Schizosaccharomyces pombe: one gene and its partner. Changing the gene in region 1 together with any one later gene gives a genetic interaction. Each region holds a gene or a part of one and is shown on either strand. Other genes may lie near its edges.

Region 1 (4,348 bases):
TCGTAAATGGTATGTGTTAGTATGAATTACAATTTTAGAAGAAAGATGAGGATTAAATCGATATTGGTTGCTCGTGTAATTACATTGTTCACCCATGCACTTTCGTTTTTCAATACTATATTTGATGAATTATTTTTTTTATTAACTCGTGTAATTACATTTTTTGACATTTATTTAATTGAAAAACAAATTTCTTCTTCCTAATTGTGTTATTTTATTCAGTTATTATTGACTCAATTTAAAATAGATAGGATCAATTGCATCGATTTTGTTAAACCACCTAGCAATAAGGTGTTGTTTCGTGTGCATCCGCTTGAAGCTAATCGATTGATTTTTCAACTCGGAAGTGCATCCCCAGAACTTGCAGTGGAAGCAGCAAAACTTGTAGCTAATGATGTTGCAGGCATTGACTTAAACTGTGGTTGCCCCAAACATTTTTCTGTACATGCTGGAATGGGAGCTGGCCTTTTGAAAAATCAAGATCGTCTAGTCAGTATTCTCGATGCTCTAGTGAATGAGATCGGGAAGCCTTACAAAATTTCCATAAGTTGTAAAATTCGTTTATTAGAGACAAAAGAAGATACCCTAAAATTGGTAGAGCGCATATGCGATACAGGAGTTCGAGCAATCACTGTTCATTGCCGTACAACTCCAATGCGAAATACTGAGCCTGCAGATCGTAGTTATTTATCGGAAATTGTAGGCGTCTGTCGAAATAAAGATGTTTCGATCTTAGTAAATGGGGATGTCTTAAGCTATAATGATGGATTGGATGTTATTGAGAAATATGGAGTCGACGGTGTGCTTATCGCCAGAGCTGCTGAAAGGAACGTATCCTGTTTTCGAATAGAGGGCCCACTTTCTAGTTTTAAGGTTGCCGAGGAGTTTTTGAAAATGGTTTGTACTTTGCTTGTTTATTCATTACTAATTGTTGATAGGCTCTTGAGGTTGATAATAATTTTGGGAATACTAAATATTGTTTAAATCAAATCATGCAGGGTTCATTTCGGAAAAATGTTCGACAACTCGCTCAGACTGCTAAAACTTATGAAGACTTGAAGAAGGCATTTGAGATCGAATACAAGCATTCGGATGCTTCATCGGTCTGCCCTACTTTAGAAAAAGAAAAATCATTGGTTATATCTTTTGTAGATTTGCCCAGTTTTTTGGAGTCTTTATTAGCGTCCAATATTTTAAAGCAACTAAGTAGGCTTCATTTCACAAAAATCTTTGCAGTAAGTGAAGAGGAAGATATTTGCAAGCAGCTAGACGATATTCATGAGAAGTTTTTGTGCCACGGAATTGCACTTTCTTTAATTTCAGCTGATAACCTAGCTTCTGCAATCGCTAGTGCTCATCTGGTCATATGCATGGAAAAAGACGAATCTATTATGAATGAGGCTGTATGCGATCAAAAAATAACTATTCGTTTGCCGATCAATTCCAATACGAATGAAGCTGTAGTGGAATGTGAAAATAAGTCAATGCAAAGCAAACATGCATTGGATATAATTCAAGAAAGGATAAAGGATTTAGAAGAGAAAGCTCAAGTCGTTTAGTTTTTCGTGTAGTTAAAAAGTTTTTGTATAGTTTTGAAGTACTTACTGAGCATGTTTGGTTAATGAAAATTATTCTTATATCTTTTCGCTGCTTTGGTAAAGTTGAAGCATGGATTCTATCGTCTCCCATAAATGAAAAAAGCATTTTTTATTAGAATTATTATTGAGTTGAATCCAAAAATTTAATTGCTATTATTTAGGAAACAGAGTGTTTTGAGAGCTTTGTTATATTAAATTGAATGACGATCAAATACAAGCTAGTACAGAAATACTTATGGTTAATTGAATTTTGAATGATATTTTTTCTACCAATTTATTAATAAATTTTTTGAAAGAAGATAAAGTAGCTAAATACTTCGACGTGTAATTTCGAACGTATACTACATAGCTGACCAGGGTAGATATCAAACGATTTTTACTACTACCATTGTAAAGCCCTAACAATGAGTTTTCGTAAATATGCCTTAATTACCGGCTCCAACAGGTAAAATATTATTAAGATATCTAGAGCAACACAGTTAATGATTACAGTGGTCTTGGTTTTGGAATAGCTACGCGTCTTTTGCAGTTCTACCAACCGCGTTTGCAAGATGAACCCGAAGTATTCACGGTAATTCTTACATGCAGGAGTCGTGAAAAGGCAGAAGATGCCTGTAGAAGATTGAAAGAATTCTTTCCCGATAGGAAAATACGGTTGGAATACGTTTTGTTAGACTTGTCGAATATGGCATCAGTGGAAGCTGCGGTGCAAGATATCGCTACTAGATTCCCTAAATTAGATTTTGTTTACCTAAATGCTGGTGCTTGGGACCTGGAAGGTATTCAATGGCTAAAGGCTATCTTTTCTACTTTGATCAACCCTATCCAGGCACTGACGCATCCAACCTTTTACAAAGAGACTGCTGGACGTGTGAGCAATGACTCCCTCGGTTACATATTTGAAAGTAATGTTTTTGGTCATTTTTATTTGGTAAGTTTTTTCACCTTAATTCCGTATGTTAGTACTAATTTACATAAGAAAAATCGCCTGGCCGAACTAAAAGTGCTCCGTTCGTCAACAAAGGTAGTCCTTACAAGCAGTTTAGTAGCAGAAAAAAAATCCCTTGATTTTGAAGACCTACAATGTTTTCACGGCGAGCAACCCTATCAATCTTCAAAGCGTTTGTTAGATGTGTTACACTATGCAGAACTTGAAAAGGGACTCCCTTTTGAACAATACCTTGTCCATCCCGGACTATGTACTACTAACATGTATGAAACTTTCCTCGGTCCTATATTGGTTATGTGTGCAAAGCTCGGTTTCTATATTTGTCGCTTACTTGGAAGTCCTTGGCATACAATTTCTCCATACGTTGCTGCTTTTGCTTTTCTTTGGACTGCTTTACATGCTACCAAAGAAGATCAATCTATCAAGTGGGGAGCAGCCGTGACTCGTTTTGGTCATGAAAGAGTCCTCTCTACTCCTGTGGAATTAATTTTGCCTTCAGAGCAAGAGAAAGCTTTAGAATATATGACAAAACTTTACCAGGAATGGAAAAAGAAGCTGGTTTCGTAAAGGGAAACATTTACATATTCTCTTGCGCGGAGGCCTTGATAAAAATCTGGAGTACCAGTTAATTTTAAAGTGCACGAGACGAGGGGAGTTATGAAAGAACAATCCCTGATTCATTGCATTCTCAGTAAAACATTTTGAAAATTGCTTTTATCAAATTTTGCTACAATCGGTATAGATATCTTGACAAAATGAATAGATAAGGGGATTTTAACCAAGTCTGGAATATAGTTTATGTCTCAATTTAGTTAATACAAACATACGAATTTATTAGAACCTCGGACTCGGAAAAGTTTATATGAAGAATTCCGCGAGTTGCCGTCTTTGTCTCATGCTAGCTATAAGACCGCATTTCGTAAATTGTGTATCTGGATATATTTTATCAACCAGCAAAATTAAATTATGAAAAATAGCAATAATTCAAGTTATTAAATTTTTCTAATATTACACTTCGAATTGAAGGCTTCCTCATTTTGTTCAGCTGTTTGCTTTCTACAGGCATGAAAACAGGAAACATAATTAAACAGTACCTCAATTATTCGAAGATTAGCCTTCACATAACAGTTTATGTGATGGTACGATAATTTTAGTATGATAATTACGAGCTTGTAGATTCCACAGGAACTGCAGCAAATGCATCCTTAAACGTGTTGGTATCGTACTTACTCAGAAGTTTACTTCTCTATACAACTTTCACCAGACACGATCTGCCTTCCTTTTGAGTTAAAAAGAGGCCATGGTACTTCATCAACGTTTAAAAAGCGAATGGTCATATATAATACTTGAAGTGTAAGGAAGTCTGGGATAATTTGTTTCACTGACATACTTAGGGTTGGAGGTACTACCCCTATAGATGAAATAGACGATATTTCTTTACGACATCTCATCACATTAGCTCTAAATCAGTCATTTGGAATATTTGGGTCTGCAATTCCTATTGATTTTTTGCATCGACAATCAAAATTTTTGTATCTAAGGTGCCATAAAGAGTATGTCAACTACTGTAATTGTAATGTGCTATTTTACTTACTGAACAATAATAATAGGGATAAAAAGAAAGTCCTTGTGGCACTCGGATCCTATGTTCGCGAACCTGAACAAATAAGACTTATGGTATTACACGCTTCAGACTTTCCTTGTCAAGCGGTTCCTTTTTCATAAGTAAAAAGGATTGTATTATTATTATGTAAATTACTAGTTATTTAAAATGAATTGCTTTTAAAACCTACTTGTAGAT
Region 2 (4,337 bases), 3.1 Mb from region 1:
TGTAACCGGCTTCATCAAGCTCAATTTGTTCAGCTACTAACTTAGTAGCAGGGATATGTCCAATAGCATAAAAGAGTCCGTTAACCTGAAGATCAGAGACTTCATTCGTGTTGGTATTCTTGATACGAAGGTTATTGAGCAACTTGCCATCGCCTTGGGCCTCCTCAGCAACGGTGTTCCACAAAACTTCCACCTTAGGGTTAGCCAAAAGACGCTTGGCCATAATGGGAGAAGCACGAAGCTTGTCACGGCGCACAAGGACATAAACTTTGCTACCATACTTTGTTAAAAACTGGGCCTCTTCGGCAGCAGAGTCACCACCACCAACGACAGCAAGAGGCTTGTTACGATAAATGGGAACGGCACCATCACATACAGCACAAGCAGATATACCTGCTTGCCAATAAGTATCCTCACCAGTAATGTGAAGGCGACGAGCGGAAGCACCAGTAGCCAAAATAACGCTGTCAGCGGTATGAGGCTCTTCCTCTTCAGCACCCTCCAACCAGTACTTGAAAGGGCGAGAAGAAAGATCTAATTTGGAAACAGTCTCGGTAATAATTTCAGTTCCAAAACGCAAAGATTGAGCGCGGAAGTTTTCAGTAAGGGTAGTACCATTGATACCATCGGGAAAACCAGGAAAGTTTTCGACATCGGTGGTAGTAGTAAGCTGACCACCAGCAGCAATACCGTTGGCAAGCATACCTTCGTACATTACGGGCTTAAGCTCACCACGGGCGAGATAGATGGCTGCAGTATGGCCGGCGGGACCAGACCCAATAATAACAACCTTGTTGTGAGTCACTAATGAAGTCAGTAAAATTAAAAAAACAAAACAAAAAAAGATAAACGTTAATGTTGTAAGGCGAGAAGGATAGAAAAGCTGAAAGAACACAAGATAACCATTATCGAACAATGATAAAAAAACAGATGAAACCCAATCTTACACGTGAGTTCGGAAATAAAAAAGTTTCCTACTAATCAACAAAAAAAAAGAAAAAAATTCATCACCGAATTAGTTTTATTTTTAGGTAATAATTTTTTTTTTGTTGGGTTCGACTTCATCGCCGTCACATTTCCTGCACGTTTTTCGTTTCACTTACTATTGATATGAGTATTTGTAGAGAAATATGTTTGTTTTAAAGGGGAATAAATAGATCCTAACTTCAAAGATTTCTTAAAAGAATCGGGTATGCCTTTATAGAAGCTAAATTTCTGATAAGGAAAGAATGTCCTGAAGTATCGAAGGAATGCGATATGGTGGTAGTGGGTAAATTGATTCTTATATAGAGCCCTGGGAAATGGTGTGCTTACTAGCGATGAATAATGAGACTCGTTCGAGACATTCGTAAAAGTGCGAACGCTTAGATTAACAGTGGCAGAACGAGACACCGATATCGCGTAAGCAAATTTAATGCCAACATGGTAGAAGAGGGTATAGGAATGTCGAGAATTAGTGAGGCCACGATAAATGGACGAACCACCAAAGCCATGAGTAAGCGACGCTTTGTACATGAAAGACGACTGACCTATGCTAGTACAATAGAAAGAACTCGACAAGAAAAATCCACGTTTTTGTTAGTTAAGAGTTTAAGCCTCCACAATCCAAACAAATTGTCAAAGAGACGCGCAGAAAGCAAAATTCTCAATGTAGCCGTGCTGGGCTACTTGCCTTACTAAGGTTTTAACCAAAAACAAGTATGATTCAAGTGCGATTGGTGTAGCCTAGAAAAAACAATTGCGAAAAGTAATTTCAAGGAAACAAATTTTAGTCGTTTACAACCCAAAAAAGAAAAATTTGCTGTTCCTGCGATCAACACTGCTTAATAATTTATTTATTAAGGTTACCAACGAGGAAAAATGTTTTACGCTGAATATTGTGATTTGATAAAAGGTATAACGATAGAATTTATAAATAATAAATTGGTTTAACGTTCAACGAAGAAAGTACGAAAATTGGGTTTTGGCTGCTATCAACATTATCGAGCTTTAAGGTAGCACGCAGCATTGCTTTACAATAGGCCAGTTTTAGATGTGAACGGTACGAGGTCGGGAGGTCATCGTTTTCTTGTAATGGTACTCGAGATGTTACTCACTTAATTTTTCTGTTTTCTAAGTGCGTACTACATATTGTACTAATAGAGTTTCAATCGGCTACTATCCTCTAACCCATGTTCCATATTCAACAGCTGCTCTCTTTCTCGCTAATCATGGTTAGTGTATTGCATCTAGCCTACACCCCAAAAACACAGGTAGCAAATAAGCTCACTCATTTCTCGATATGGTGTAACGTCGAATACCTGGCAAGAACCAGACAATCGTTTATTCTTGTATTTTTTTAATGCCGATGAATTCCGTGTTAGTTATTGGAAGTGGATTTTTAGGAGGTCATATCATACGGCAGCTGTGCGAACGTGAAAATCTTCGAATTGCTGCATTTGATCTCTTTGAAAATGAAAAGTTGCTACACGAGCTTCATGGTCAATTCACCATGTATACGGGTGATTTAACGAAACAAGGTGATATTGAGCGTGTTTTTGAGGAATTTCATCCACGCGTAGTTATTCACACTGCTTCACCTGTGCATAACCTTGCTCGTGATATTTACTTTGAAGTGAACGTAGATGGCACAGCGAATATCATCAAAGCATGCCAGAAATTTAATGTTGATGCCCTTGTTTATACTAGTTCCGCAGGTGTAGTTTTCAATGGTGCTGACCTTATCAATGTGGATGAGTCCCAGCCCATCCCAGAAGTTCATATGGATGCCTATAACGAGTCCAAAGCTTTGGCAGAAAAACAAGTCTTGGAGGCAAGTTCTGAATCTTTAAAAACTGCTGCCCTTAGAGTTGCTGGTTTATTTGGTCCAGGTGATCGCCAACTCGTCCCTGGTATGCTTTCTGTTTTAAAGAATGGACAAACCAAATTTCAATTGGGTGATAATTTGAATCTTTTTGATTTTACCTACATCGAAAACGCTGCCTATGCTCATCTTCTGGCTATGGACAATTTACTTTCTAGTAATCCTACTGCCAATGGCCAAGTCTTTTTCATTACCAATGGACAGGTTATTTACTTTTGGGACTTTGCACGTGCTATTTGGGCACATGCAGGACACGTTCCCCCTTATATCATCAAATTCCCTAGACCGGTGGGTATGCTCTTAGCCACTGCTGCTGAATGGGTTTGTTATTTCTTGAAAAAGGAACCTGGCTTTACACGTTTCCGTGTCCAATTTAGTTGTGCTAACCGTTACTTTAACATTCAAAAGGCAGAAGATGTTTTGAAGTACCATCCCATTGTGGATTTGGAGGAAGGAATTCGTCGTACTTTGGCTTGGATGGATACTGAGAAAAAACATTAAATTGAGCCATTGGCCTTGTTATTCTTTAAAAGAATATTTAATTTTTAAATTCTAACGCTTCGTAGTCTTTTTTCATTTCTACATAGTTCACTTTCTTCTCGATGAGTTCTACCTCTTGAGCATGTCGATACGAAACAGTTTTTTTCCGCTTTGGAAATTGTTAATGACTTATATCATCATTTCATTTGATAGATGATTGCTCAGATCTTAAAAAAGGAAAAAAAAATATTTGGGTATCTTGGAATATAGACAAGATCGAATAACATCAATATAACGTTCTCTTTGTACTTTCTACTCGTTGTGCTTGAGACGAGAAGGATACAGCTCGTTTGCTTTTGTTATCTTTCTTTGAACTATACGAAGATTGTCCGGTATCACTTGTGTTTAGAAAACAATGGTTATTTCCTTTACATAATGATTGCCTTGTAAGTTTTTCTCATCTGAGATGTATTGATGTATTATAAGTTTCGAGTCATTTTATTTCGTAGATAAATGAATAGACACACTTCATAGAAACTGCTTTTATTACGCTTGTAAGTTTTTGAGATTTCTAATGTAAAACATTGTGTAAATTCTGTATTTATTTTTTAATATGTATGCTGCGTTGCAAAGTTTGCATTTATAAAGCCATTAATTTGTTGTTCTAAAAATATCATTTTGATCTTTGAGAATCCTAAATATCTGTTTCTTTGTAGCCCAATACTACCAATTATTAAGCTGCATTGTTCGGACAGATAAAAACTTTTTTAGCTACTATCAACCACCAAACAAAAACTCACAAGGGCTTGAATTTGTACTTTTTGCTCAATAAAATGGCTAAAGAAGCATTGGAATTAAAAAATGAAGCCAACAAGTTTCTAAAAGAGGGACATATCGTTCAAGCTATAGATTTGTATACAAAAGCCATTGAGCTTGATTCTACAAACGCAATTCTTTACTCCAATAGATCTCTTGCACATTTAAAGTCAGAGGA

Evidence for each region.
Region 2: of erg27 (region 1) and erg26, a mutation in one rescues a mutant of the other (synthetic rescue), as found in Schizosaccharomyces pombe (one large-scale study listed by BioGRID).

The regions. Positions count from the first base shown.
Region 1 is NC_003423.3:1,108,888-1,113,235, forward strand, and holds erg27 (3-keto sterol reductase), read left to right. Parts: upstream 1-1,979; 5' UTR 1,980-2,002; coding exon 2,003-2,043; exon of another isoform or gene 2,044-2,090; coding exon 2,091-2,529; exon of another isoform or gene 2,530-2,577; coding exon 2,578-3,114; 3' UTR 3,115-3,548; downstream 3,549-4,348. Other genes in the region: tRNA dihydrouridine synthase Dus2, read left to right, coding at 1-9, 248-897, 939-1,559; RNase P and RNase MRP subunit Pop8, read left to right, coding at 3,848-3,900, 3,942-4,100, 4,158-4,272. UniProt on the Schizosaccharomyces pombe protein: 3-keto-steroid reductase; part of the third module of ergosterol biosynthesis pathway that includes by the late steps of the pathway. Erg27 is a catalytic component of the C-4 demethylation complex that catalyze the reduction of the keto group on the C-3.
Region 2 is NC_003423.3:4,186,734-4,191,070, reverse strand, and holds erg26 (3 beta-hydroxysteroid dehydrogenase/delta 5-to-4-isomerase), read left to right. Parts: upstream 1-2,305; 5' UTR 2,306-2,341; coding exon 2,342-3,364; 3' UTR 3,365-3,821; downstream 3,822-4,337. Other genes in the region: thioredoxin reductase Trr1, read right to left, coding at 1-804, 1,104-1,104; SPOM_SPBC3F6.01C (serine/threonine protein phosphatase), read left to right, coding at 4,177-4,337. UniProt on the Schizosaccharomyces pombe protein: Sterol-4-alpha-carboxylate 3-dehydrogenase; part of the third module of ergosterol biosynthesis pathway that includes by the late steps of the pathway.